Alligator mississippiensis: one gene and its partners. The protein of the gene in region 1 purifies or fractionates together with the protein of each later gene. This does not show direct contact. Links are inferred from orthologs where the notes say so. Each region holds a gene or a part of one and is shown in the gene's direction. Other genes may lie near its edges.

Evidence for each region.
Region 2: the proteins of KPNB1 (region 1) and NUSAP1 purify together in Homo sapiens (affinity purification with mass spectrometry; 3 studies listed by BioGRID and IntAct, counting the BioPlex papers as one, with this or other methods). This does not show direct contact. The link is inferred for Alligator mississippiensis from reciprocal best matches to the Homo sapiens genes KPNB1 and NUSAP1.
Region 3: the proteins of KPNB1 (region 1) and DLGAP5 purify together in Homo sapiens (affinity purification with mass spectrometry; 4 studies listed by BioGRID and IntAct, with this or other methods). This does not show direct contact. The link is inferred for Alligator mississippiensis from reciprocal best matches to the Homo sapiens genes KPNB1 and DLGAP5.
Region 4: the proteins of KPNB1 (region 1) and NUP214 purify together in Homo sapiens (affinity purification with mass spectrometry; 3 studies listed by BioGRID and IntAct, with this or other methods). This does not show direct contact. The link is inferred for Alligator mississippiensis from reciprocal best matches to the Homo sapiens genes KPNB1 and NUP214.

Annotation. Positions count from the first base shown.
Region 1 is NC_081827.1:167,231,365-167,239,089, forward strand, and holds the start of KPNB1 (importin subunit beta-1), read left to right. Parts: upstream 1-4,289; 5' UTR 4,290-4,428; coding exon 4,429-4,468; intron 4,469-4,752; coding exon 4,753-4,811; intron 4,812-7,725.
Region 2 is NC_081825.1:239,938,122-239,945,450, reverse strand, and holds the start of NUSAP1 (nucleolar and spindle-associated protein 1), read left to right. Parts: upstream 1-3,980; 5' UTR 3,981-3,995; coding exon 3,996-4,217; intron 4,218-7,329. Other genes in the region: OIP5 (protein Mis18-beta), read right to left, coding at 1,879-1,945, 3,387-3,660. UniProt on the Homo sapiens protein: Microtubule-associated protein with the capacity to bundle and stabilize microtubules. May associate with chromosomes and promote the organization of mitotic spindle microtubules around them.
Region 3 is NC_081825.1:293,226,749-293,234,193, reverse strand, and holds the start of DLGAP5 (disks large-associated protein 5), read left to right. Parts: upstream 1-4,374; 5' UTR 4,375-4,508; intron 4,509-7,445. UniProt on the Homo sapiens protein: Potential cell cycle regulator that may play a role in carcinogenesis of cancer cells. Mitotic phosphoprotein regulated by the ubiquitin-proteasome pathway.
Region 4 is NC_081835.1:59,555,809-59,563,512, forward strand, and holds the start of NUP214 (nuclear pore complex protein Nup214), read left to right. Parts: upstream 1-4,534; 5' UTR 4,535-4,600; coding exon 4,601-4,642; intron 4,643-7,667; coding exon 7,668-7,704. UniProt on the Homo sapiens protein: Part of the nuclear pore complex. Has a critical role in nucleocytoplasmic transport.

The DNA of each region.
Region 1 (7,725 bases):
TTTAGTAGCCATGCAACAAAAATCACTTACCCAGCAAAGTGTGACCTGCTCTGGGGGGGAACATAGGAATCATTTGGCATTGGCACAGCAGCACAGGGATTGCTTGCCTAACAGGAAATCACATCCCTCTCTGGGACAGAACTTGGGAAGCAGTTAACAGCTGCACAGCAACACAGCATGATAGTTTAACACAGGAAGGAAAGGTCCCCACATCCAGTTGAAGGTGGGGAAGTAGCCTCTCTTCTAACTCCAGCACGGTGACTCCAGGCACCAAGCACATTTTCTAGTCCTGCTCTACCTTTGGATGATTCACTCAAGCAGTCAGTGAACCAAGTAAGAGAATCTAGACCTAACACATGCACAGCAGATTAAGCAGCTGTACCCTCAGCAATGGCCTCCATCAGTGAGTCTAGCTATACAGCAGGATGTGTGCATCACAGGGAATATTCATCACCCACAGGGAAGTTCACACTCTTTGCAGAGGACAGGACTGGGATTCAGGAGATCTGGGCTCTATTCCTAGCTGGGCTACTGGCTGTCTGGTTAACCTTAGGCAGTTTGTTTTCCCTCTCTGTGCCTCTGCTTCCTTTTCCACATACAGGAGATGACTGAAGTCCTCTGCTCTGAAAAGTGCTAGTTATTATTATGTACAGCTGGTGAGCATAGCTAAAAAATGAGGAGAGGCTGAAAAACCAGGCAGAGCCAGGACCCCTAGGCTCCATCCTCAGCTCTCCCACTGCCTAGCTGCATCACCTTAGATGTGTCATTTTGCTAGTCTCCACCTGTAAACCAGGGTGAAGAGCAAGGACACCTGCATTCCATTTTCACCTCTGCCTGACCTTGGACCAACTTCCCGATTATAAAGCAGGGTTAATACTCACCCACCTCCCTAGGGACAGGTTCCTGTTCCATATTTGTACATCCTTCTTTCTTGCCTTAGAAGAGCATACTCTTCCCTCCAGGCTAAGGCACTTAGCAGGGTAGGAGGGGAAGGGAGCAGTATCTGTGGATAAAGTACTAGGAGCCAGGACTCCTGGGCTCTATTTCTGGCCCTACCACTCAGACACCATATGATCTTGATGTGTCTCAGTTTCTCCAACATGGAGTGTTATGAGGGGCTTCATGGCTTGAAAGGATGACAAAGTTGGAACCTTACAGGTTTTAAAAATTTATACTCCATTCCTCCACTGGTTCATCTCTTGGCAGGGTTAGGAGCTTCTCAGAGATAAATGGAGTTCCATGGCATTCACTGTGCCTAGAACTTGAAGAGGAAGGTTGTCTAAGGTAATATCTGGCTGCTGGGTGTTGAGCTCCTGGCACCTTTTATATCAAGAGGAGGATTTTCTGCTAGTGTCCTCAGTTAAACTTTCCTCTCCCTCCTGTAGCTGGCTTCCTCCTCAGAGGCAGCTACATTTCAATGGTGAGTGGTTTCTAAAGTGCCAGGGAAGCCATATGTCAGCAGAAACAAGGATGAGTTAGAGAGACATGAACTGTTTCTCTGAAGGCAGAATGAGATGGGACACCTCTGCTCAAACAGTCTCATGCATATCTGCAGACAGACAGGACTTTCCTACTTCCGTCTGAAAAATGGGGCCCCTCTCATCCCTCCCTGTTATCAGCCTATGGGTACCTGTTGCCTGAGAGAATCAGGTTGACTATATCTGGCTACTCACCCCTTCTCCCCATGGCATTCATATTTAATACAATAGAGCCTGATTGTGTTACTAATTACTCTTCCTCCTACAGCACAAACCGCTGAGACACCCTCTTCACCTTGGTTTAATTATGCAGCTGCACCTTTGTTCCTTGTTCTCCTTTTCTGCAAGACTTTATTTAGCATCAGTGCATCTCAGGAGTTTGACTCAGGTATTGTCCACATGTGAAAGTTGTATTGCTTTAACTATCCTGGTAGTTAAAGGGACATGTATGTTCACATCCATGAAATGTCATGTGGTTATATGTTATGGCAGTTCCTCCTGTGGCAAGGGTGTCAAACATATGGCCCACAGTCCCCCAGAGGGGCTGGAGATTTAAGGATGGGACAAGTAATAGCAACATTAACCTCTACAGCCCCCTTAACTGACAGTAGTTCAGGCACCCACAGGGGTGAATTTGAAATCCATCTCTCTGCCACTGAATTCTGGGGTATAGAGCTTCACTGGGGACTTGTTTGCCATACGTAAGCTGCTGCTGCAACAAAAGAAGTGTTATGCCCCAGGGCTCCCTGAACAAACAGTGGCTTAAGCACCCATAGGGGTTATTGCCATTCCTGCTTACCCTGCTGCAGGGGTTGGGGGGGCGGCGGCAGGGGACACAGGAGCAAATGAGTTTGACACCCCTGCCACAGAAAGAAGGGATCTTTTGCCATCCTTTGTCTACACTAGGGATTGGACTGCTACTCTTTCCATTGAAAATAAAAGGTCTCACACTACTACCTGGAATACATTTTCCCAGTACAAAAACAGTGCATAGATTAGTCCCTATTGATATGTAGTATGGAGCACCTTGGAAGCCAAATCACAGGGCACGTTGTGTTGGGCACTGTCCAGAACAGGACAATGTTTGCCCCCCCCCCCAAAAGCTTACAGGACACCAATTTCAGGCTTTGATTTCTGCCTTCCCTTACTAGTATATCTCAGATGAATCAGCCTCTAGAAATTCAACCAGATAGAAAACATTCTCTACGGCCTTCTTCACCAGCAGGACGCTGCACCATATTTATTTCCAGTCTTTGTGAAGATTTTCATTCTTACTGTGGTGGGTTCTACAGAACTGCAGTCAGTGACAAAAGAGCAGTCAACTACCTTCACGTTCTGCTTCAAAAGTCAGAGCTGGTTCAGTTGTAGCTTGGGCTGCTGACCATTCATACCCGACAAACGTCAGTTTTAAGTGCTACCAGGTGTGGATTATTTCTAGTGCTAGTTGTAGTGTCATTTAATCCCAGCCCATCAAGGGGATTCTCCTCCTCCCCCCATGTACCATTTGTGGGCTTCCTATTGCCTCCTGGGCTCTCTGCCTCCAATGGGCTGACCAAAAGAATTTGACACTGTTACAGAAGTGAAGAGAACACGGGCTGCGATGCTATTACGGACAAGGGATGCTGTTCAGGTAGAAGTAGGTAAGAACTAGTATGACTTGACATAGGATCATGCTTAATATCCTTATAGTTGTTGTCATGTTAGAGTTAAGGGCACTAATACAGTAGCTAGGAGAGTATTTAGTTAACCAATGCATATAAAAATGTGTTGAAAGTGCTAGCCCTGGAGCACCTCCTGAGCTTTGGATGCCACTGAATTTCAGTGAGGAAGGGGATGTTCAGGTAATTCCCAGCCCTTTCCAAAGGCACCCCAGGATCTTGTACCACCCAAATCATGCACACGGAACAACTCTTTGACATCAGGTGTGCCCAATATAGCAGATTTCTGTGCGAGCCCAGTGCCCCTTACACACGCTGTTTGATGAGGAAGAGCCACAGCTGGGGCTGGAGGAAAGCTGTTTTCTGCAGCACTCGCATCCTTCTCATCTCTTCTTGGGTAGGCACATGGAGGCTGCAGCACCTTCACAGGAGAAGAGAGGATGGGGAGATCTTAAAGCCTCCTTGCCACCATCCCACCCCACCCCACCACAATCGCAGGGGCAAATACGTTACCTTTAGCGCAGCCCTTGGTGGTGGGCTTCATCCTTCCAAGGGAAGCGCTTTGTGACAGCTGCGATGGAGCCTCGCCTCTCCGGGGGCCCCACTCCCCCGCTGGGTCGGAGCTCCCCCGAGCAGCGGCCGCCTTCAGCTCAGGAGCTGCAGCCCCCGAGCAGCGCTTCTCAGCCTCCTGCTCCAGCCTCCCCACAAGGAAGAAGACCCCCTCCCGGAGATTCCCCCCTTCCAGGAGACCCAACCCCCCCGAACCCTTGCGGGCTGAGCGCCCCCTCTTCCGAAACCAGCTGCGAGCTGCCCGCGGCGCAGCGGGGCCCCCGGCTGCACCCTGCAAGGACCGCTGCGGCAGCCCGGCGCTGCACGCGGTGGGGGAGGGGAAGTCATGACGCAGAGCGCGCACGCGGCTCCCACACCCCCCGCTTGCCGCCACTTCTCTTGGGCGCCCGGGCGCGGCGGCGACCAATCAGCGCGCGGCGCCGGAACCCGGCGGCGGCCCGCCGACACGCATGCGCCGCGGCGGCCGGGCGGCCAATCAGCTCGGCGCGTGGCGGGCGCGGGCAGCCAATGAGCCCCCGGCAGCGGGGCGGCGGGCAGCGGCTCATATCCCTCCGCTCCGCCTCGCCGAGCCGCGCTCCCACCCGCCCCTTTCTCCTTCCGCCGCCGCCACAGTCGCCTCGAGCAGCTGCCGCCGCCGCCGCCCGGGTCCCCGCGCCGCAGGAGCCGAGAGAGGAGCGGGCCCCGCCCCACCGCCGCGCCGCGCCGGAGCCTCCGCCGCCGCCATGGAGCTCATCACCATCCTGGAGAAGACGGTCTCGCCGGGTAGGGCAGGGCAGGGCCAGGCGGCGGCGGCGGGCGCGGCTGAGGGGGCGCGGGGCCGCGGGCAGGAGCCCGGGCGGGCGGGTGGGGCGCGGCGCGGCCGCAGGCGGTGCGGGCCTGGGCGGGTGGGGCGGGCGTGTCGCGGCGCCGCGGGGACGTAGTTTTTCCCCGCGCGGGGCCCGTGGGCAGGGCAGGGCAGGGCAGGGCAGGGGCGGGCGAGGTGAAGACGGCGGGCCGGCCCGGGCCGGGAGCTGCGGCGCCTGATGCGGCCTGTCCCTTCCCCGCAGACCGCTCCGAGTTGGAGGCGGCGCAGAAGTTCCTGGAGCAGGCGGCCATCGAGAACCTGGTGAGCGGGGCGGCCGGGCTGGGGCCGTACTGCCAGGCCGGGCCGGGCCGCCATAAAGGGTGCAGCCTACCTCGCCGGCTCCAGCCGGGGCGGCGGCCGGCCAATGGCGACGCGCCCGGGAGACCCGGCGGCCAATCGCAGCGCGCATCCGGCCCGAGGGGGAGGGTGTTAGGCTGCGTGGTGCTGTGTGTGCGGCGGGAGGGGGGAGAATGGGGCCTGCGGGACATGTGGGGAGCCCGGGCTGGGGCGGGGGGTGGCTCCCTACCCCCCGTCCTGCCCCCACTGCCACCATAGGGCAAGTCCTGCCTGCCCCCTGGGGTCTTGCTCCCTTCCTGTGCTGGGGACCCATCTCCCTCTTCCACATCCCCTCATGCTGCTTTGCGAGGCTGGGTGCAGGGTGCTCCTCTGTTTCTTTGCTGACTGACTTTTTTTTGCCTCTGGCCATCACTTGCACCTCTTCTTCTTTTCATTTGCTCCATTTGTTTCTCATTCTCTTTTTCCTCACTCACTGGGGCTGGGTCCTTTTTTTCTCATCCTCTTCCCCTTTTGATACCCCCTTTCTGCTTTTCATCATCATTCCCTGTCTTCTGGGCTATGCCTCCCTCCCCCTTTGTCTGATCTGGCCTGGAGTTCGGAGAAGCAGAGAGAGCTTCACCCTGGGTTGGGGGAGGGTCTGTGTCTGAAGTGTATTTTCTTAAGGAAGTTAGGGTGGCGGGGAGCAGAGCTCACACCCTCAGGCCTGCAAAAGGCTGTCTCGTGTTGACCTGTTAAAACACATGGCAGCCCCTGCACATGAGTGCACTAAAATCAAGGATGGATGGGGCTGCAATGTGTAAGGTTCTCCTGTGAGCAGCCAAATAAGCTGTTTGTCATTATGGCAGTTCAGTGAAAGGGTACAGGGGTGTGTGGCTTGTTGCTGTTGGTCACCTATTTTTCTTTCAGATTGGAAGCAAAATGTGGGTGTTTTTCTTTATGTGGACATATATGTGCTTTCCACTTCACCGGTGTCAATGGACAAGAAATTCTGAAATCATAGAAAATGAGGGTTGGAAGGGACCTCAGGAGGTCATCTAGTCCAGCCCCCTGCTCAAAGCAGGACCATACCCAACTAGATCATGCCAGCCAAAGCTTTGTCTGCTCAAGTCTTAAAAACCTCCAGGGATGGAGATTCCACCACCTCTCTGTTGTAGCCTGTTCTAGTGCTTTACTGCCCTTCTATTGAGACAGTTTAGGTGAGGTATTGGGAAGAACTTCCTTTGCTGCAACTTGGGACAATTGCTCCTTGTTTGAGAACAGTCTAGCTCCATGCTCTTTGGGACCCTTTCCCCCCCTTCAGGTAGCTGAAGACTGTTATCAAATCCCTCCTCAGTTGTCTCTTCTCCAGACTAAACTGAGATATCTGTTATGCAACTCCATGTTTTTAGTGATCATGGAACCCTTCTGAAGCATAATTGGAATATTTTTTATGTTTAATATCTTTCTCTTTAGTTCCTGTTCTATGGCTAGCTGTTTAGTAAATCATAGCCCTCCACTGTAACTGTGGAACCCAACTGTAGCTGAGAAATTTTACTGGTGCAGCTGATGAAAATGTGTCCCAGTCAGTTCTTGCAATTTTTTCCTGCATACATTCTAGAGCATTAGCCAATACTTTTGGCAGAGCTTGGTTATGTATAGAGGCTGTGAGAGCATGTACGTTGCAGACCCAAATCCAAATGTAATCTAGAAGGATTTTGAAATTAGTCTATCTAAATTACAGATAGAACTGCTGATGTTTGGACCCAGAATAAAACAGCTACTTACGTAGTTCTTGTTAAATAAATAGTTGCAGGAAGCAGGCAGAAAATAAAGTAATGGCGAATACAAGCTGCTCCTGCTTTTCAGCTGTATGTCCCAGAGTTCCTCCGCATCAAATTCAGAATGGAATTTTGAGAGTTGAGCCCAGTGTCTCCTTGGGGGTTGTGACCCTTGCCATTGTCACATTTTTTTTTCATCAGCTTCCACAATCTAGTCTGGCAAAATTCCTTCTTTCTGACTTTATAATAAAAGTTCTTTGGGGATGAGTAAAATTACTTTTCTCATTATGGTAAAAGGTGAATGAGGGAGATTTTTGTTTTAGGCCAATATGCTTTTTGGATGTTTTTGTAAGGCTTAATCGAGCTTATATTGATGGACCCAAACTTTATTTGCAAACACTGTATTTCAGGTGTCTAAACAGACTATTTGATAGCCTCCTTACAATTCTGTCAGGTGATATATTCACAAAGGTCATATATAAATCTATGGTCTTCTGTTACATGCTGCTTACAGTCGTTCCTAGCTACTACCAGAGTTTTCCATTCTGTCTACTGGGAAATTTGTACAGGTTTCTAACATTTGAGTGCAACTGTTCAATTTTTAGGAATTGGTTGCATTTGGGTTTAGAGCAGACAGCCGATGCAAGTCTTCCTTCAACTCCTATGTCCAGCTATATTGTATTGACATTAATGCAGGTGTACCCAGCTTCTTTGGGTTTGTGTTTTTTTTTTTTTTTTTTTCCTAGTGTAGACAAGGTCTTAGACTAGGTCACTTCTGGCATGGGCACTTCACTGCTGCAGCTTGTTCTCCATACCTCATACAAAGCAAAAGACTATAAAAATGCAAAGCTGCCAAATTGCAAATGGTCTTAATTCATGAGTGTTTTTCATTAGTCATTATCAAAACCACAAAGTAAAAAATCAGGTATTTATATAGATAATACAAAAATATCTGTACATAACTAACTTGGACATCAGGGAAATTGTAAGGTAAATTTATTCTTGCAGAAATATTTTTTTTTATTGTATAAGAACTGACTAATGTCAGCTTTTTAAAGTTTCAGTGTGGAACTACAGCTTGGGTGCTTCCCTCAGGGTCAAGATTTGGATGATACAGATTT
Region 2 (7,329 bases), on another chromosome or scaffold:
TTAAGAGTTCTTAGTCCTTGTAATTTAAAAAAGCTGTCCAAATATGAATTAAATACAATACTTAACCTATGCAGTCTCTCCAAGCTTGCAGACAACAGAAATGTATGCCACCCATCTTTAAAAGCAGCAATCCCAGTCAAGCTCAATTTCTTATCACATAAAATCTAATTAAAAAAAAAAAAAAAAGTATATAGAGCATGTAGGCCTTTGCCAATTATCTCCTTTTCTGCAGAGCTTTGAATAACTTGAAATTATGTCCTTCCTTTCACTCCAGAACTGGTAGTGCAGAAACACTGCTGTCTAGAATAATGATTTTCAGCCAGGGTCCCGTGGCTCAGGGTCTCCCTCTCTGGTCTACAAGGTGAAAATGTACCCTGACTTTTCCCTCCCTGGCAAAGCCTCCATTCCCACTACTATTCCCTCTGCAAGGAAGTAAGAACTGTGATAAATTAGTTTTGAAGTGGAGCACTGCTTAATTCATAACAGTCATGGAGGGGTGCCTTGAGTCTAAAAAGGCTGAGAACTAATCGTCTAGAGCAGGGGTAGGCAATGTTTTTTGGCCAAAGCGCCGAAAAACACCACAATGCCTACCTTGCAAGGTGCCAGAGTGCTGGCATGCCAGAAAAACAAAATGAGGGCAAGGGGTACATAGAATGCCCTGTTTGTGCCCCTTGCCCCCCCTGCCCCCCAGTTCTGTGCCCCCTCCAAAGCCCCTGCCCCCCAGCCCTCCTACCCTGTGCAGCTGCAGCAAGCAGCTGGCAGGGTACAAACATCTGAGCTGGGCTCCACAGCTCCAGCATCAGCTCCATCCTGGTGGTGAGTGCATGCGCACTCAGAGCAGACAGTGGGGCAGCAGAGCCTGCCCAAGGTGCCCGTGCAGTCACCGCCAGCACAGAGCTGATGCTGGAGCTATGGAGCCTGGTGCAGCTGTTTGCAGCCTGCCCCCTGCTTGCTGCAGCTGCCCAGAGCCCAGGCTGGCTGCAAACAGCTGCGCCGGGCTCTGGAACCCTGCTATCACCTCTGTGCCAGGAGCAGGCGAGAAACTGGGGCTGCGCTGCCTCAGGTTCCACCCCACCACCCGCTCCGACACGTGGGTGCACGCGTTGGTACGGAGCTGATGTGGCGTGCTGAGCAAAATAGCCTCATGTGCCATGCTCAGCACGCATGCCGGGGGTTGCTGACCCCTGGTCTAGAGACTTGCTTATACCAATTGATTCATAAATAGTTGTTCACTTTCAGCACAAAAAAAGGTATCAGAACCAAAACATACGCTCTCTCCCTCTCCCCATCACACACAACCCCCCAGACTTTGTGGGGGATGGGGGAGATACCGTTTCTTTTTACAGCTAGCAAATTGCCAGCTGCCACTGGAAACCTCCCCCCAACCCTCTTCCCTGCCACCTACCCCCCACAGGCTGTTGTTGGCCGGGGTACTGCGGCAGCTACCTCGCTCCCTGTCCGTAACACTCCAGACCCTCCCAGCCAATTGATGCGTGCCCTCTCAGTGCATGCGCAGTTGTCCTGGAGTGTGACAGACAGACGCTTTTATTATATTAGAATTGTTCAAATGTTCTCCCTACTTCAAATATAGCAAATGTCTAGATGCATGTGAAAGGGGAAGAAAGGAATGGAACGTATGCTGTAGATTTGCAAAGGCTTTTTTCAGTAAGAGACTACAGTAGGCAGGTCCGAAACCAAACTAAGTATTTGTCAGTTTTGTAAGCCCATCCAAGAGTAAGCTAGTGATTTTAAAAATGTTTCTCCAGATGACTTGTTTGAAGTCAGAGGCACCACAATAACCCTCACCTGCTCTACTAGGTCAGCATCTCAAACAGAAAACTGGTATCAAAACCAAGAAACAGTATTTGAAATACCTACCATCCTAGGAGGGACCCGTCAATACCAACTCTTAAGGAATCTTCTAGAACAACATCTTCTGTAACTTCTGAGAAAGACAAATCCAGAGTCATATACCACAGATCATTCATTAAAATTTCCATTTCCCCTTAAGATAACTGAGTTCTGGACTTCCTGTATATAGGCTTGGGAGGAGTCACATTTGTTTAATCTTTGTTTTAATGGAAACATACTGATCCATCTCCATGTTTCTAACATCTGTTGATTTAGGAGAAAGTTATGGCCAGATCCAAGAAGCCTTAAGATGCACTTCAAAAGCCCAGGCCTAAGAGCACAGTCCACAAAACCTCTCCACACCTACTGAGGTGCCCAAAAGTCTACTACTACGCAATGATAGAAGTGCCAGTCTGGTACCCAACATAAGCCTACAGCCACCGGGGATACCCAATTTGTGAATCCAGCAGACAGGCCCAGCGTGCCTCTCTCACGCTGTCAGCATTGCATTCAGCACATAGCACAGCAGCTGGAGCCACTTCCAGATGTGATCACCTTTTTCATACAGTAGCCTGTGGTTGACATCCTCACCCAGGGAGCAGCCATACCAGGCAGCCAAAATAGCCTCCTGGGGCCAGTGGGGCTTGTTTGCCAACAAAATCTATGGCATCAAGAAGCTGGATAGCTCCGTTTTTAAAGAAACAGAGCAAAAAAGTGCCCTACGCCTAAAGGACATGGACATACAAGGCAACCTGGACCAGGATAAAGATGCGCAGGACTTTCCAACCCCCGCAGCTGTTGTATAACTGCACTGCATAAAATCACTGGGCAGCTGAGACAGACTTTGAGATGGTGAAATAAGAACTGGAGCTGTGCCTGCCTGGGAGGGGTGCATGGGAAAGCTAAGACCACAGACTCAACTAGCAGGGCACAGCTGAGGCACACCAGCTCCATAGTAACCGCTGTGAGTCCCTGGTAAAAAGAGGAGTGCATCTGTTGAAGCTCTCTCTTCCCTGAAGGAGAGACCTAGATGCTCATGGGCTCTGCCTTGCTGCAGAGGAGGAGGGGGGCTACCAGGAAGCAGCTAACTCCCACCTGGATACACCTGTACCATACTGTGGGGCACCAGGCACCTGCCACCAGCCTGGGGCAGGCTAAAACCAGAGGAGAGGTTTACTCTGGGACAAAGCAGTTTACCCTGGGATCCCGGGGGCTCAGGCTGAAGACAGCGGAGAGGTCCCAGAGGGGGCTTGACTCATCAGGGCAATCCCTGACAGGAAGCCTGCGTGCCAACTAGCACGGATGAGCCTGGCTTGTCCCAGGCAGGCCCCGACAGCGGGCGCAGGGCCAGGTGCGCCCGCCTGCTCACCCATCCGCGAGATCCCAGGGGGAGTGTCGTTGTCCCGGAGCGCTCAGCCCGGCGGCCCCGCAGCGAGCACAGCCCAGTGCCCCGGACAGTCCGAGCTTCGCTAGGAGGCAGGCAATGGGCTCCGAGGCCGGGCCCGGGCTCGGGCCCTCGCCCCGCCGGCACTCACTGAAGCAGGCGAGGACGCGGAGGCGCCGCTCCTCCTGAGCGCACAGGTGTAGCGAGTCGCTCAGCACGGCGTAGCAGCCCCGACACTGGAACACGGCGCAGTCCTGCGGCCGCAACCGGCGCCGCCGCAGAGCCGCCGCCCCGGTGCTCGCCTCCGCCGCTGCCTTCCGCGCGCTGCCCGCGGGGGCCGCCGCCGCCGGCCGCTCCACCATGATGGCACCGTCGATCTCAGGGTCCTGGAAGAACTGCTGCAGCAGCCTCCGCCGCACCGCCATCTTCTCGCACCCGGCTCCTGCCGCGCGTTCGAATGCACCTCCCCTCCCTCGATTGGGTGCCTGCCTCCCAGCCCTGCACTCGCATTGGCAGCCACACACCTCAATCTCTCCCCTCACTCCTCCCTCTCTCTCTTACTGTCTCCGCACGCCCACGCCGCTTGCCTGAGGGAGTCCTCCTCTACTGTCGTCATCCTGCTGTCCAATCAGATCGTGAGGATGTAGCGCCGGGCGGGGCTTTCAGTCCAGGCCGTTCGAAAAAAAACAAACCCGCGCCGCCGGAGCCCCATTGGTCGGAGCTTTGCCTAAGGCACCCGCCTCTCGTGGCAGTTCTGCCAATGGGAGAGCCGGACAGCGCCAGTTCGAACGGGGGGCGGGGACGGGCTGTTGAGCGCCGGATTCAAAGCGGACGGTTGACGCGCGGCGTAGGGATTATTCAGTGCGGCTCGGACCGGGCCGTCGCCATCATGGAGCCGCTCTCCCTGCGCCCGTTGGAGTCGCTCAAGTATTGTGAGCTGCAACAGGTGGCCAAGGTCGCTGGACTCCGCGCTAATCTCAAGGTGGGAGCGGGGCCCCGGGAGGGGAGCTGGGAGGTGTTCCTGCCTCGTAGGTGCCGGGGCGGTAGTAGCGCGGGGCCGGGCCCCGGTGCCTCGTCGAGTGCTCAGCCCCGGTGTGCGCCGCGGTCCTCCTTCGCCGGCGGTGCGCCCGCAGGTCCTTGCTGCGGGAGCCCGGGGTCACCTCGAGCCGAGTCCCAAGAGGCGGGAGCTGTCTCCTGGGTCTCAGGCGCGGCGGCAGGAAAGCTATGGGTGCAAGTACACGGCGGAGAACTGGGGTCGGAACTCTTGGCAGAGGTGGTCTCTTTTAGATATTTGCAAGCATCTGTCTTTATTCTCATAGGAGAGGGAAAAGGTTGTAAAGTTTCTCCGCGGTGGAAATGAAAATTCGTATTTCGCAGGAGAGCAGAAGGTGGTGCAAGATCTCCTGGCTGGAATAGTTAATTTTGGCAAATTAGGCTTAGGTGGAAGTTAGAACAGCCCATTTTATCTCGGTGCTGTCTGGAGTCAAGCAGGATGTTGAATTATGTTTCCTTCCAGTGATGACATTTCATCTCTCACAGGAGGGCGGTGATGGACTGGTCTCCTGGGCAAGGAATTTCTCTTAGATTCATAGATCTTGTGCCGAGGCAGCTTTGAGCTCTGTGAAGATGCAGATTTATCTGGAACAACAATAGGCAGAAACCAGGGTGTCAGCTTTCAGGTTTCAGTAAAAAAATTTTTTGCAAATATCTAGTTGGTCTAACAAAAGTCTGCCATGAGTTATAATTCCTTTTGCCAGCATAGAGACCAATAGGCTACAGCCTGTATCCCTGAAACTGGATAACTGTGCCTTTAAGAAGCTCTGGCATTGGGCCTATTGGGATTTGTTGTTTCTTACTGTGCTTTCTATCTGCAAGCCAGGTGTGCCAGGGAAGAGGCAGTAGAGTTTGAGCAATATTACATAAATGTTCAGGGTACTATTCCATGACACACAAGCAAGATGTATTTAAATAGAAAGGTGAGGAGAGGGGGGCTGCCCAGAGAAGCTGACAGCCGATGGATTGGCTCCCTGGAGATGGAGGCAGCTCACTCCCAGCTGGAGGGACACCAGAGGAAGCAGCCAGTTCAGGTAATGGGATAAGAAACGCCAGTCCCCTTTGAGACAGTGGCTGAGGTAGTCCTGCCTGCCGCTGACTTCTTGTGCTGCAATTATTATGTTGAAGTGGGAATTTAAAATGTTGTTTTAAGAAGAGCTCCTCGGGCCAGTCGTGAGGTGTCAGAGGAGGCTGAGGTGTTTGGCCACCAGCTTTCATTAAGTTTCTGGGCTAGATGTCTGTTCATTCTTTTGCCTAGGAATTGCCTTTATCTGGCTGATGTAAGCACTGTAAGCTGGTGATGGTATGTAAGTTGTTGGTGGAAGAATAGAGGAATAAACCCCAGATGTTATAATTCATTATGTTTGGTCCAGTGGGGATGTGGTCTGTGTTTGAGAAGACATAACTGGCATCCAGCAGTCTATTCATAGCATCTTATTAAGTATTTTCCATGCCTCCTACAAAAGCCTCTGAATCGCTTAGTCTCTAAGGTGTCACCCTGCCCTGTCTTCTTTTTGGGAATCTGCTATTAGTGCTGTTTACAGGGAGTCAAAGCTGCTCAAAAGAGACTTACTGTTTATTTATTAGACAGAACAATTAGGGAAGCAATTTTAAAGCAGTTAATGTGCATGTCTACCGTGTGTTCTACTATCTCATGGTGGTAACCTAAGGTTCCCTGAGAATAAGCCTCTGGCTGGGAGCAGGTTTACAGTTAGAGCTTTGCCAGAACAGATGTACAAGTCCAGTGATACCCATGCTGGCTCTTCACTGAAATTGATTTTGAACTGGAGTGTCCTTGTTGCAGTTTACCTAAAGGTGCTTATTTTACAGCTCTCTAGTCAACAGTGACTGCTTATGTGGCTCCTATGACTGAGTCGCATAGTGTCAAAGGCTGCTTCTTGGCTGTTAGGCTAAGATCAGTATTATACTCAGTATGTGGGTTTAGCAAAGGAATGTTCCCTGACCAAATGAAAATAAGATATACCAGCAAACGAACAATTTTGAAAATGAACAATGAATAACTGCTTCTGCGCCAGCGACTTCTGAGAGGCTGTTAGCCCATTAGCCTGAAGTCAGGCAGAAGGCAGGGTAGAGATGCACCTGGCTTTTGCAAGCAATGTTTTTCACATGTCATCCTCCTCCTATTGATATAACTATGATGGCAAATATTCTAATATAAAAGCCTAAGTCTGTCGGTAACGCTTTATTCACGCTGTGATTGGCTGACAGAAACAGTCAATCGGAGTGCTCCAAGCGTGGGGGAGCACCGCTGTGATTCCAAAGCCAGGCAGAGGACTGGACAGAGGGTGGGGAGCTGAGGCCCCCACCCTGCTCCTTGCAAGAGGCAGAACTGCGGCAGCATGGGGCGTTAGGTGGTGGGACACCATCCCAGCCCCCTCTCCCCGGTCATTTGTGACCGGTAATTGGCTAGTTTGTTATAAAGCTGTAGCCCTCATCTCAAATAAATAACCATCAGACTTTCCATCTCATGCCATCTCCCATGCCTGAACGTGTCTTTGAATCTTTGACCCCCCCCCCCCCCCCCACTAATTTAAACAGTCAATGGGCTGAATCTGACCTGTGGAGCTCTATGATCTGGTCTGTGGGTCTTGGGCCAATCCCCACATACCACATGTGGCACACACTAGCCCCAGTGCCTCATGTAGCACAGGGGGTCAGTCTTGGGTACATGTTGCATGCAGTTCCCACAGAAGACCAGCCCTGGGCACTAGCTCTGGGCTAGTCTGGATTGGACCTACAGACCATCCCTGTATGCTGGAGCCAGTGTGTAGGGCTGGTCCAGAATGGGCACCACATGCAGTACATGCCCCATGCTGGGCTTGCTTGCAGTATGAACCCTGGACCAGGGCCAGCATGTGCTGCATGTGGTGTGTGGGGTTGGACTGAATGCAGGCAGAGCACATGGGGCCAATCTGTAGCACATGCTTCCTGCAGTGCCCCTCCAGACTGGGCCTGTGCACTATATCTGGGGCCAGTTTGGATCAGGGCCACAGACTGACCCTACACACTGGAGCCAGCAT
Region 3 (7,445 bases), on another chromosome or scaffold:
ATCATTGCTGCTGCTGTTACCCAAGTTATATAAATTAAAGCTAACATGGATGTAGAGAATCTTGAGAGGGTTCAGAGGAGGCCACTTGTGTGGTCAGAGGCCTGCAGGCAAGGCCCTACGAGGAGAGACGGAGGGACCTGGATCTCTTCAGCCTTCACAAGAGAAGGCTGAGAGGTGATCTTGTGGCTGCCTATAAATTCATCAGGGGAGGGCAGCAGGGACTAGATTTACTAGGGCACCCCCTGGAGTAACTAAGAACAATGGCCACAAATAGATGGACAGCAGATTTAGGTTGGACATTTGAAAGAACTTCTTTGTAGTAAGGGTTGCCAGAATCTGGAATGGCTTTCCAAGGGAGGTGATGCTCTCCCCTGCCCTGGGGGTCTTCAAGGGACTGGACAAGCACCTGGCTGGGATTGTCTGACCTCAGCGCTCTTTCTTGCCCAGGGCAGGGGTTTGGACTCAATGGCCTACTGAAGTCCCTTCTGACCATAACATCTATGAATCTATGGTAAGTCCTGGAGTCATGCCTCCTGAATGCAGTGTAGACATGCTTTTACTGAAATTTAACATGTTGGGTTTTCAGCATGAACACTGGGGGGGGGAGGGAGAGAGGGGGAAACTGTCTAATACAAAAGGAAGGGAGACCTCAGCCTATAAAAGAGCAATGATTTTGGAAGGAGAAAACACTTAAACCCACCTCCATCAGCTTATGATGGCCCAAATTCACTTAAATGTAGCCCAGAGTCATCAGGTGGAATTTTCCTGTAAGTCTAAGCACCTAATTCACTGGTCATGTTGTTGGCTGGCCCCCAGTATGAGGATGACAGTCTGCTAGTAAATAGGGAAGTCATCAGTGAGCCGGTGGATGATTGAGGAGGCTGATCTGAGATCCACATGTTCCACTGGAGACATGGCAAATTGTTCCGGGAGGAGATCCTGGTCATGTCAGGTCATGGGTTTTCCTTTTGTCTCTCTCATCTATCTGCCTCCACAATGAAGTGAGTTTGCTCAAAATAACTGATGCCTCGATGTACATTGTAGCACCCCTGGGGATGATTCAGTGTTTGAGTCTCCCAGGTATTGATGTTAATATCACATCTCTTCTGATTGGCCTTAAAAGTGTCCTTGGATTTCTTCTTTTGCCCATCTCTAGATGATTGATGAGTTGGGAGTATAGGATCTGTTTGGGGAGCCAGTTGACAGATATCCTTATGACATGCCCTGTCCAGCAGAGCTGGTGCTGTATAAACATGGCTTCAGTGCTTGTAGTGTATGAACCAGAGCACTGGTGTTCATACTGTCTTTGGACATCTGATTTTGACTGGAGTGCTGCTTTTCGAAATCTCCAAAATTATGTGTGACAATTATGACATCAGAACCCAAACCAAACTGCTCATCTTAAAGGCTGGTATCATCTCTACTCTGTTGCATGGGTGTGACATTTGGATGACATATTGGAAACACTTGAAAGCTCTGGAACATGACCATCAGCAATGTCTTTGGAAAATCCTCTATATTAATTGTAAGGACATAAAGTGGTCAGGTAAACAGTGATGCAAGGTGCAGAGGAAGTGTAAGTGGCCAATTGCCAGAACTTGTATCCATTTTCCAACTTTCGGTGACACTGGTGTGCACAGTGATGTCACTTCCGGTGTAGGAATCAAAATTCTGCAGTGCGGTGGTGGTACAGTTCCCATCCTCAGCTCAGAATAAAGCTGGTCGTGACCATACATCCAAGGTCCTGACCTCGCAACACACTCCATACTCAGTGAATGTACACAAGGCACTGAATGCTTTCAGCTTTCATTGCATTGGGAAGGAAGATGTACTCAGGATCTCTTGCATTTGGACTCTGTGGCCATGTCTTTGTGCCACTGCTAGCTATCCCTGGGGAATGCCTGTGCCACATGCTCTCTGGCACGTGGCAGGTTACCCCAGGTGGGGTTGGGGAGGCTGGGGCCATCACAATTGCTGGCCCCAGCAACTTTATCTGGGGGCCAGGGAAGCTACAGCCACGTTTGTCCTGCAGCTTGGAGCCTAGCCAGCAGCTGGAGCATAGCTCTGGCTGGCCAGGCTCTAGTTTTGGGCAGTGTGTGCTGTCCCTGCCTGCGTGCACTGCCCTGCTTTTTTTCTGCCTGGTTTTTTTTGACCCCTGGATCAACACCCCCCCATCCTTCAGGGTAGCAGCACAGGAAATGCCTGAATGTGCAGTCTGTGCCACCACAGACAGGTCTGCAGCACCACATACTGCACGGCCACTCTCATCTGGATCCAGCCTGTGGGTCAAATACTTCACTAGCATGAACTGGTATAGCTCCATTTTTTTCACTGGATCTGTACCAGTTTGCACCTGATGGGAACTTGACCTTGTGGTTGTCTAGCAAAAGGCAGACAGGGCAAACTAACTTGCTCACTGTCATATGGTAAGTCAGTGACTCTTCTTGGGTTAATCAGGATGTCCCTAGTTCCCAGGGTTTTGCTGTAACCACTAGCGGCTTATATGGCCATCTGTGCAGGTTGAAATGTTGTGGGATGCTCTACATTTTGAAATGAGGAAGACGAATCTAAAATGATTCAGCATAATCTTTTCTGCGGGAAATAACTCTTTGCCTAAGCGCACCAACCGGTCTCTAATCCATTTATTGCTGTCCCCATTCACTGCACCCATGTGCAGCTAAAAATGTCCTATTCCATTATAAAAACAAATGTTGTTTAGTATCCCCCCAGAATTTCCTTCTGTGTTCCTGTGGCTTGAAAGCTGGATTTATAAAACACAATGTCACCTTCTTTGCTATCCTATAAGAAACATTTTTACACTGACTGCAATATATGGTGCTTCTCAGATTATCCGTACGTTTTATGCTTTTCAGCTGTATCGTATTTTGCACTATTCTTTTTTTCAATCCATTGTCTACACCTACATTTTTACAGTGCCACCAAGCGGCTGAGGTTTGCACTGATGCTTTCGGATTTTAATGTTGTGTAGATCAGTGGTTCGCAACCTTTTTTGTACCGGGTCCCATTTGTAAACATCAATAGCCAGTCCCAACCCAGTGCCCCTCACTCCCAATCCGCTGCCCCCAGGTCCCAGCCCCCCAGCATGTGGGATAAAGGAAGGGTGTATGTGGGGCATGGGGACCCCCAAGCAGCTCCTCTGGCAGGGACTCTGCCATCCTGCAAGGGAAAAGCCAATTTTCCCCACGTTTTTCTCCTTTTAAAGGAGAATCCATGTTTAAACTGTGTTTGTGACCCTTTCATCTATTCTTGCGACCCATTTTGGGGTCATGACCCACAGGTTGAAAAACGCTGGTGTAGATTGTCTTTCTTTTGTCCAGCTACTCTTTCCATGTGTACAAACCATGTCAAGTACGAACCATGAACTATTAGTTTCTCCAGCATATAGCTGCAGACATTAAGAAATGGGAGATGATATATAGGAGGGACGTGAGAACAGGAATGCAGGACAGATGATAGGCTATGGGTAGGGTTTTTCCAATGAGTTTGGCGAAATGTAGGGCCCTACTGAGCACTTCTGAAAATCCATTTATAAAAAGATATGCTGTATTTACTTACAAGTTCAAGCACAGCTCTGTATTCTTGGCCTTATTCTATACAAAATGGCAAAAATCAGAGTTTACAGATTATTTTCTCAGTTGTTGCTAGTGCTTATTTCTGTTAGCATCTATAAGCCCTTGTCCTAGACTGAAACTTCACTGAACACGCACAAAAAAAATGAACATTTTTGTTTCAGAAAGTTTACCATCGACGTGCAACACACGGGACAATTGATGAATACCCACCTTACCCAAGACAGCAACGAGATGCTGCGGGTCAGCTGCCAGGTAGTGGTTCAACACACGATCAGCATTACTGTGATCCCGGTGTTGTGGATGTTGGAAACAGGGGACGGTAAGGAAGGAAAATGCCTTTGTTTTCACAGGTGGCACAGAACGGGTCCCATCGCTGTGTGAGGCCGGTCCCCTTCCACCCTTGTTCTGGGGCACCGGGGAGCTGCCTCGCTCAGGGGGACTCACACCCCGGCTGCAGATTACAAATGGCAAGACTCCTTACGCCCATTTCACAGACGGGAGCCGAGTGACAGAGGAAGCGGCCCAACCCGAGGGCGGACACACGCCCCCAGGAGCGGTCACAGTAAGACCCCCTACTCCGGGGGGGGGGGGGGGGTCTTGGCGCTGCACCCAGGACGAGCACCACGGAGCCCGCGACCGACCAATCACAGCGCTGCCCCCGCTGTCGTCATGCGCCCGCGGTTCCGTAACGGAGACGGTGGGCGGCCAATGAGAGCGCGGGGCGGCTCCTTGTCGGGAGTCGATAGGAAGGGCGGGGAGGGCTGGGCGCCCAATGAGCGGGCCCGACCGGCTCCCCGCGGGCCAATGAGCGGCCGCAGAGCTGGCTTGGCTCGGCCAATGAGCGGTTTCGGGGGAGATTTGAAAGCGAGGCGGAGCGGGCGGCTGCGGGTGTCTCGGGGGCTCCGGCCGCTGCGGGTGAGCGCGGGCTCGGGCGGTGAAGGGAGTGGGGGAGGGGCGGAGGGGAAAGGAAGAGGGGGAGTGGGGGGAGGTGTAGGGGGGCAGTATATGGCACCCCCCCTGGCAGGGGGCCGGGTCTGTCCCAGAGGTGGCTCCACTCCGCTCTGTTTCCTGCCCCGCGCGAGGCCAGCCCGTCTGTGCCCCTCCCTCAGCTCCCTTGGGGGCAGAAGTGGCCAGGCCCACGTCGTGTGCACCCAGGGCTGGCAGCAGCCTGAGGCTGAAGTGGCTCTTTGCTGCCAGTCCCTGGGGGTGGGTTTTGCCCCCTCGTGCCCGCTCCTGTTTCAGGCCTGCATACTCGATGTGTGATGTGCTGTGACTTTCTCATTAGCAAATACAGTTTTTTGGATGAAATGCTGACTCCTTCTTTCGCCGGTTGACTGGGACTAAGGTGCGCAGGTTCAGGAGCCAGCGTGTGCCCGGGTGGCAGCAGGAGGAAGGTGCGGGAGCCGCGGCAGCCCAGGCAGGACGGGAGAGGCAAGGCTGTCCGAGGGCAGTGCCTTTCAGCTTGCGGTCGTCAATCCCCTTGACTGTGTCTAAGGCAGGGGTTGGCTGTTTTTGGGCAGCGCCAACAACCCCTGCAGCCTCGATTTGTAGGATGTTGATGTGCCGGGGGAGGATGGTGGGGGAGCCGCGAGGGGCCTGATCCTTGTGAAGGCGCAGCCCCAGCTTATTCCCCCCTGTCCACCGTGAAGCGAGCGTGCCAAGCGAAACGCCTTCGTTTGCTATGCTCTGGCACCTGTGCTGGGGGCTGCCTCCCCCTAATCTATGGGGGCCACCAAAGATGACTGATCAATCAGAAGTATGTGAGTACACTTACACTTCAGAGGGGTCTGCACCTCCATTTTTGGGGTCTGTAAATAAAAAAAGGTTGAAAACCACTGTCCCAGGGGGATCGGTATTTATTTTATCTTGTGTGCATTGTTAGTTACTTTGGTTTTTTATTCTTTGATCTTTGATTGGACTAGCTGTGCTGTAGAGTTAGGCCAGCTTTCGCATGCAAGAGACCTGATGAAGGAAGGACATCTTTTGTTGGAAAGCTCCTACTGTACAGTTGGTCCAATCAAAGCTATTTCCCTAAGACATCCTTGCCTCGTATCCTGATTATGGCTCACTACAACCTAACAAATGTTGCTGTTGATCTCCCTGTGCTCTGCAAGTTATAACTATCCTCTCCCTTCTCAATGGTCTCTTCTGCCACTTACTATCTTGCCCATTCTCCTGCCCTTTTGTTCACAGTGCTCCTCCATCTCTCTAAGCAGACTGTTTGTATTAACACAGACACCTCTGTCTCCTAGTTAGCTCAGCCTGTGTCTTCCTCTTTCTTAGACCTGAGGAAGGCCAATTAATGCCCCAAAAGCTTGTCCACCAGCTCTCCCAACCATAATTGATCCAATAAAAACTATTCCAAACAATCCTTGCCTCTCAAAATGAGAAGGGAACGTTACAGTCTGTGGAAGGAAAGGAGAGTCACTAAGGATGTATACCAAGGAATAGGAAGATCAAGAATGTAATGGTGAAAAAAATCTACCTATCTGTCTATCAAATCTGGCAAGGGATGTGACTGACAAGAAGAAGGTATTCTCAAAATATTTTATATAGAAAGGAAATACTTGGGAAACTGGATCCACTGCTCAATAGTGAGCCCCTAATAAAGGATGTGAAGAAGGCAGAGTTGTTCAGTGACTACTGAGTCTGTCTCAAAAAAATAAGCTGTGACCAGACTGCTAACAATTTAATATAAACAAAGAAGAGGAAAGGCTGCAGTTCATGAAAAAATAGAGGTATAAAAGCTCTTTTGACCAATTTGAAGGAATTTAAGCTAGTATGACTTGACAAAATTCATCTCAGGGTGCTGAAGAAATGTCAGAGCTACTGATAATAGTATCTGTGTAGCCATGCATGACAGGTGAAGTCCCAGGGAATGGGAGAAGAGCTAACTAAAAAGGAGGACCTGGAGAATTATAGACTGGTCAGCCTGAAGTTAATCCTGGGAAGGTACTAAAGCAAACTATAGGACTGTCAGCAGGTAAGCACTTGGGAGAGGAAGGTGCAGTCAGTAGCAGCCAGTGTGGATTTGTGAACCTTGCCAAACCAAGGTCCTGATTAGTGTAACTAGTTCAGTGGATCAAGGGACTGCAGTGCGCTTTAGTAAGACATGATATGATCCCACTTGGCATTCTCAACAGTAGAAATGTGGACTAGATAAAATTACTGTTGTGTGACTATGTAATTGGTTGAATAACACAAGCAGAATGTAACTTTGTCGATTGAGGTCAAAGTGGCAGGTTTCAGATGAGGAGCCACTGAATCCAGTGTTAACATTTTTACTAATGACTTAAATGCAGGAATACAGAGCTTCTGCATGAAGTTTGCAGGTGAGAAAATACTGAGAGGGGCTGTGAACACATTGGGGGAGTAGAATTGTAGTGGAATTCAGAAGAATCTCCATAAATTGAAGAATTATGCACAGGGTGACTATGGAATTCAGCAGAGACCAGTGTAAGGCCCTACCTAGGGAAGAACTAAATGCAAAAATATGGAATGAGAGCTAATTGGTTAGGCAGGAGCATCGCTGAGAAGGATCTGTGAGTTTTGGTGGATCACAGTCTCAACATAAGTTAGCAATGTGATGCAGTCAGGAGAAAGCAAATGCTGTTTTGCGCTGTATTGCCAGAAGTATTGTATACAAGACATGAAAGGTGATAGTATCACCTGCGTGGTGCTGCTTAGGCCTCATCTGGAGCATTGCTTACAGTGCTGGGCTCCACATTCTTTATAGAAATGAGAGGATCCAGAGGCAAGCAGTAGAGGTTGTAAAGGGGTTAGAATGGAAACCATATAAGGAAAGGTTGAGAAAATTAGTTAGGTTTAATTTGGTGAAATGGAGATGAAGGG
Region 4 (7,704 bases), on another chromosome or scaffold:
TTTAATCAATGCCACCCATCAAGCTAGCTGTCCCCATGAAACAGAGAAACTCTCCAAACCACGTGTTTCAGGATGCATTGGCTCTGGGATTGAGCTGGGCTAGATCCTTGGATGTTTAGGAGCCTGGAGAGGCCTTTCCTGCTGGCTGAATCAAGGTGCAAACCCATAAGTTTCTAGATCTGCTAAAATGTCTGGCTGAAATTGGAGCATAATAGAAGCTTAAAACCTGCAGGACAGGGGAAGTCCTCCCCACATTAAGGCAAACTAAAGTCTCAGTGACTTCCACCTATATTAAGCCTGCTGAATGTGTAGGATTAAGCTTGGAGTGTGCTCTGCAAGCTGCTGGCAGGAATACACCACTGCTCTTTCTTCATACAGAAACTACAAAAGGAGCTACTTGACATGTCAAGGCATTTCTGGGTGGCTATAAGCTGAAGCTCATGCCAGAAGTGAGATAATGGGAAGAGTTGCCCCCAGATAGCAATTTTGCTGGCTGCTGACTGAAGGATGTAGACACGAATGTTGAATCTGTGAAGAAGCCGCAGAGCCAAACAAGTTTCTTGGTGGGCCCCTCTTTGCCCGGGGTGGATGCACTCGTGTGAGCCTGATGTCTCTGGAGACGATTCTACTAAGTCAACTGTTGGTTGCAAAAGGTGTTGCTGCTTCTGTCTATTGAGTTTTTAAAGGTAGACTTCCTAATATATTGGGTTTTCTAGGAGGCTCCTTGTAATGTGAATAAGCAGCTGGCCTCTGAAGTTTGGTCGTTTCCCTCGCTGCCAGTGGCCAGTTAGTTCAGTTCCATAACATCAAATCTAAATTGGCTGTTCTCTCTCACCTGAAATCTCAAGGGGCGGTGGGAAAACCAGCCCAGCTAGTCTTGCTTTGGACATTCACAGAAAACGCTGGGGATGTCCTACAGCTGCAGGAGAAAGTGAGATCAGAGGAGTCCAGTCTGAGCCCCTCGAATCCATCCAGCCTTGCTGTGGGGGAGTTTACTTTCTTTATACAGGTGGCCTCTGAACTTCTGGGATCCTACAAACAAATGCTTTTGTTTAAATGTATTACAATGGGACCATTCTCATGAGTGAAATTCAGCACATTGGAAAGGTTGTCTTGGCAGAGCTGGGACCTTTCGAGGGCAGGGAAGGACTCGTCTGATGCCAGTGTAGCTGGGACCATGCTCTGATCATTCGGGACACTGATGCGATCATTGCTTTCTATGTAAACTCTTGGAATCTGGTTGTTTGCTGCTGGGGTTTAACTGCTTACTCTGTTTCTTCTTTTATGTTCTTGGCAGCTTTTAACTTTTGTGGTTTTTAAATCCTTGTATAAATAAAAAGTCCAAATAATTGTAACTTGACTAGACATCTTGCTCCTTCCAAGGGCTGTATTTTTTTTTATGTCTTGCTATCATCTTTGTATGAAAACTTTGGAATTGTGACAGGGGGAGAGACTGCAGATGGGGGTGGCACAACTCTGCTTGTCCAGGTGGAAAAATAAACCTTCTGAAACAACTTGAAGCTTCGGCATGTCCTGTTCTTGTTTGAACCAGGGTAAAACCGAGTTCTAACCCCCACCATGTACTGACAGGAGGGTTTTGCCTACCTTCTGCCAACTCATTTTGGACCCATGCTTGTGTCCTGGGTTACAAACAGGAGGTGGAAATCCTAAATCAAAGCACATCTGTCTGAAACGCTTCTGTTACCACTACTTGTTTTCCACTGCAGGAGCAAGAAGACGTCTCGTTAGGTATGACCCCTGCCTCTACCCTGCCCCTAAGGAATAAGGGCAAAAGAAAAGTCCTTCCAGCCTAATGCAAATCACCAAAGCAGGGCCCAGGAGATGTGGGGCAGGTTTCTCAGCTGCACAGCTGCCCTTGTGCCCCAGCATGGGCAGGAGAAACAAGTAAAAGACATCTGCTACAGCCTTTCTAAAGAGCGTGTGTACTCCCCTGGGGCCAGCACTCACTTCAAGTCTTGGAGAATTAGAACCAGGAGGGCAACTGATTTACCAGTGGGAGATTTTTGTCCCCCTTGCTTCAGGTAGTTTATTGAATGTAATTTGGACATCCCGGCACTATTGTAACAAGGACTTTTATCCCTGAGCTAGAGTGAAACTAGCTTAGCTGGTACTAGCAGGTCTTTTGTACTGTCTGGACTACCTGCTATGGACTGAAATGACTGCACACTTATGCTGTGTTACAGCTGCCTCCAAATCCTCTAGTGCAAGCAGGTGGACCGAGTGAAGAGAATTTCCCCCACTGTAAAGCCTCCTTTGGATAAAGCAATTGGCTGCAAATCACACTGGGCTCTGCTTTGAGCAATTAGTTTTCTGCATCCTGAGCCCAAGGTGGTCAGAGACTTAACTCTGTGGCCGTTTACGCTGCAAGCCTAAGGGTAAGAGGCCGTCACGCCGCTAAGGTCAGCGCTAATGCAATTGTATTTGCTTACAGCAGGGGTGACGTCGGCCTCAGGTGTGGAAAAAGGCAAGTAGGATCTAACAGCTGGTGTCCTGGGGCAAGGCTGGCTAATGAGATTGCACAGGCAGCGCTGCTGCGTTTGCCCTTCACATGCTCTTGCGTGTGCTTCTCTGCTCCATTTAAACACTACAGCACATCGCAGCAGAGCATTGGCTGACTTCAAAGGGCTACAATAAAACCACAGCAGGCTACAAATGATGCCTGGTGCCAATGATGGGAATGCCTTGGGCCAGGGGAGCATAAATTGGACTGAAATAATTCAGCTAAAAACAGCATGTCGGTAGTGGCTGACAGGGCTAGATCACCGGCCTTCTCAGTAGTAGCAGTGGGGACAGGTACACAGCCCTGCCAAGCCCCTATTGCACCATTAAAAGGGTAGTGTCCTCCCTTCTATTTGTGCTGGGAGCTGGAAGTGGGTGGCTGGGGCACTGTCCCCTGAACGGGCACAGCCAGGTCCTGGAGAGCTGCTGGGTACGTAACAGGACTCCAGGAGCTGGCGCCTTAAGATTATCCCCAGCGCAATCATTCTGAAACTTTGACCATTGCTCCTGTCCCTGTTTTGGCTTTGAGTTGTACTGAATAATCAGTGCCATGCCCCTAGTGGCCCCCATCACCAAGCGGGGCTCATAGCTCTACGTGTTGAGCTTTGGCCCATGTTCCCAAATGGTACATCAAAAGGCCTGTGTCACACGCAGGGCCCCCAGGGACTGCGGGGTCGTTTCCCTGTCCCTCCTCCATTCACGTCTCACCAGGCAGTGTCCGCCAGCTCCTTGAACACGTTCGAAAGCCAGCAGGCAATATCCGCTGTGCTGTGCTCGGCGTCCCGTCTTGGCACACTCTTTTCGGACCTTTGACCATTGTTCTCATCCCTGTTTTACCTTTCTTTTGTCCCAAGAAATTAGTTGTTACTTTCTCAGCAGCCTCCTGTCCTAAGGAAGTCTTCTTGTTCTTGGTGGGGAAGAGCCCACGATCCCTTGGAAGTAACAAATAAGCCTGTTTCACGCGGTGGCAAAGAACAAATGCTGAAAGGAAGCAGGAACTGAGTCTGGCCAGGAGTTTTTCCCTATTGTCCCTCTCTCTCTTGCAGCCTTCAGCATTTCAGTGCTTAGGAAGCTCCTTCAGAGGCCGCGGCCCACACTCCCAGGCTCAACAGCGGCTCTCCAAGAACGGGTCCAGGCCCTTGGCTGAATCTGGCTGGACGGTCAGCTCCCTGCGCTAGTGACCCTCTGGGTGCAAAACAACGTCCTGACGTTCATTTTACACTGACCACCTGCTTGTTTCATGCTCTGGGCTGGTGGGAGAGACTCGGCGCTCAATGCTGGCTGACTTCCTCTCCGCCATCTGGGGTGGCGTGCATCCCTCTTGTCCCCCCCCTCCCCAAACAAGTGTTTCTCTTCCCAACCGATGAGGCCGGGCTTTCGCCTCTCTCTGCGTGGGAGCCCCTAATCCCCCTGGTTGCCCTTGTGTGGCCATCTCTAGTTCCTCTCTGTCCTACGGGGGCAACCGGGCACGGCAGCCCAGGGCTGGGGGCACCAGGGGCTTGTCAACGGGGCTCATAAGCAGGGATCCTGGTTTTCTCGGATTTAAAAAAATCCCCAATTTTCGGTTTAAAAAGAAAGAACCCCAAATCCACATTTTTCTGTGATTAAACCGAAACACCGTGTGTGTGTGTCTCTATATCTATAGATAAATCTATCTAGATCTATATAGATAGGTATACAGATAGATTTGTAGCTATAGATACATCGATCCGTATCTATAGATAGATTAATAGATAGGTATAGTGGTGTTTCATTTTAATCATGGGAAAATGTGCATTTGGGGTTACATTTTTTTAAACCGAAAATTGGGGGGGGTTTAATCCGAGAAAACCAGCACCCATGCTCGCAAAATTTATGGGTAGGCCCCGCCCCTACCCTGAAGCCCCGCCCCTTCTTGCAGCCCTCTCCCCTCCCCACCCCGTTCTCTAGTCCTCCCGCCCTCAGCTACCATCGAGCGGCGCGGCTAGAGCGGCCTCCGGCTGGGCCGGAAGCGGAAGTAGCCGGACAGTGTCAGTGGAGTGCGTAGCGCGCGGCGGCGGCGGTGGCGGCGGCGGCGGCGGCTCGGCCGGGCCTGGTCACCATGGGCGACGACATGGACGTGATCCCTGAGCGCGACATGAAGGTGGGGGAGGGGGCAGAGCCTCGAGGGGCCCTCTGGGGTGCGCGGCGCTGCACAGCCTGAGCCCCAGGAGTCTGCGGTGGGGGAGGGGCAGGTGGGGGGTGCTGGGGGAGGATCAAGGCCCCCCTCGGGGGTGCTGGGGGGATTAAAGCCCCCCTTGGGGGTGGTGGCTGCTGCAGGTGTAAAGGGGAAGGTGGCTCCCTCCGGCAGCACGGCACCAGCGGCTCGTGGCCACATCGCCCTGTTCAGATTGGTCCCAATGGTGCTGAGGGGGAGGGGGTTATCTTCCTCTGTAGCAGGGGGCTAAACATTTCGTATCAGATGCCTGCCTCAAATTGTTCGAATAAGACGGCAGGCCAGGGCGGCGAACGTGGAAGTGTTAAATGTTGCTGGTCTGTCATTCGTGAGAACGTTGACAAGTAAGACACGACTCGGGTGGCTTGGTCATGTCAAGAGAATACCGGATCGCAGGATCCTGACGACCGTGCTGTACTCTGAAGCTCGCGCAGGGTCTAGAGAGAGGCGGCAGGCGCTGCACGGGTTTCGCGATGCTTGCAAAGGAGACTCGGCATCTTTTGGCACCTCCGTGGCTGATTGGGAAGGCAGTGCGGAGTGCTGCTCTGGTTGGCGGACTCAGCTTGCAGATGAGCGAGGCGCTGCGGGGTTGACCAGATCAAGTTTTGCGACGACCAGCGTCAGAGGAGGAAAGAATCTGCTCGGATTCAGAGCATCGCTAGCGCGTGGGTGGCGTGCCCTGTCTGTGGGCCCTGTCACGTGCGTTGGATTCAGCAGCCATCAGAGAACTCATCAGCGCGTACGCCATGCTCTGTAAAGAGCAATGGTGCTAATTGAGTGATTGTAGCAGGGGTTGTGGCCTCCACCCCAGATCCCTTGGGCATATATTGGCAACCTTTCATAGAAGTGGGACATTGGCTGCCTTGGTTTCCCTGCTTTATCAGTGCCAGGTTTGGGTGCTAGGTCTGTGTTGGCTCAGGATTGATGGTCTTACGTAGAGTTTGGGTGATGGATGATAGAGGATGGTTTGGATAGGGGTTGGGCCTGCCTCAGGTAGAGGTTGGACTGGATGAGCTCTGGAGGACCCGCCCAGCCGGACTCCTCTGTGGTTCTATGACATTTCCAAGCCCCCCCCCAAGCCAGGTGATATGGCCCCCTGTGTGGGACATGACCCAGGGTTTGGCCCCCAGCCCCACATACCCTGGGTTCAGCCCCCAGACTAGGGATGAAAGGTTGGGTACAGCTGCTGCAGAGAAAAAGCCTTGTTTCACCTGAACAACCCTCAAGAGGGATTTTGGCACCAAGCAGAAAGGCCTGTCTTGAGCTCTGGTCGTGCAATTTCATAAGAAAGGAGTTTTGCCTCCTTTCCATCGCTTATTTCCTGTGTGAAGTGTGCGGCCCTTATCCTTGTAGGTGATTCCTGGGAAAGTCCAGTCTTTCCATGCCCGTTGGAACCTCTGGAGCAGATCGTTACAAAGGGTTTGGCCTTGGCTCTCTTGGAAATTCAAGCATTTTGTGGTGGTTGACCTATTTGCGATGTATTCCGGTGGTTCTTCATTTGAGAAAGTGAGGAACAGCACTTCTGTTGGCATAAAATGAAAATGGTCAAAGGTCAGGCTGAGAGCGCCTTTACAAAGGATGTTAAAGAACAGAAGATTAATTTTAACTTCCTAAAAATAGGAACAAGGGAGGAATGGGAGCTGCTTTACAGTAAGGCTGGGGTAGAAATTAAAGGTAACCTAGATGTGGCCTAATACTTAAATGAGTATTTCAGTATTCGTGTAAGATGTTGGTACAGAGCCTATTATGTTCCTGTTGTATTATGTGGGTCAGAGACTTTGGGTTTTAATAAAGAGGGATTTCTGCAGGCTGTAGCAATAAATAAAGGTATGTATTGGGAGCTTGAGATCAGACTGAGTGAGTGCTAAGGAGCATGTTAAATCAGCAGAGTTGAAGACATGGGTAGAAAGACAAGAGCTGGTGTAGTTGAAGCAAACAGGAGAGAATGCAGGAGGACAGGATACTTCATGGCATGATGAAGGTGCATACTGAGGGCAAGAGGCAAAGGGAAAGACTGGAAAAACCTGGAAGGGCATTTTGACTAGATGGTGTCAGGGAAGAAAGTATGTATATAAGATAGCAGGCAGCGGAGAAGAAGTGGAAGGAGATATATTACCAGACCCAGGGCAAATTTCATGCACTCAACGGAAATTTGTGTGTATTTTGTCCTTATACAATGGGAGCGCATCTTTTGGAGATGATGGAGGAGGAGGAGGAGTGTCTGCATATACTAGTAAGTTGTAGGCTGACTGAGGCTTCTTCAGTGTGATGCAGCCATGAAAAAGGCAGCACAGTCCTAGGAACTATCAGGAGGATTTCCAATAGGAGGAAGTACTGGCATTAATGCCGTAGCACAAAGCCCTGGTACCTCATTGGAAATATTGTGTGGTTTTTCTGGTTGTTCAGATTAAAGAAACCAAGGTTTCAAACTTGGACAGATGCAGAGGAGAGCTACTAGGTTGACTGGAGAATAGGGAGTCTGTGTTGAGAGGAGACAAAAAAAAAAAGCTTGGTTTGTTCAGCTTAGTGAAGCAAAGGCTGAGTAGGAAATGATCACTTTTTTTAAATACATCCAGGGAGGGGAAAAGAGCTGTTTAAGCTAAAGGGCAGCATTGGCATGAAATCAAATGGGTATAAACTAGTTGTGATTATATTTAGTTTAGAAATTAGGCTTGTGACCATTGGAACAGTTAGCTTCTGGAACAGCCATCCTGTAGGTGTGGTGGGGGAAATATTTCTAAAAAAAAAAATTTAAGATGAAGCCAGGTGTATTTATGGAAGGGATGCTATGATGCAGTTGCTCGAATAGCAGGGGGCTGGATTCAGTGATGCTCTTGTAAATCCCATGTTTCTAATTGAGCGACTGTGTTTGGATAAAAGTATGTTTTAATCTGGTTGGTTTCTCCCTTCTCCCTGTCACTTTGAGTCACTGCTTAATTCTTTTGCACAACAGGATTTTCAGTTCAGAGCGCTGAAGAAAGTCCGAATTT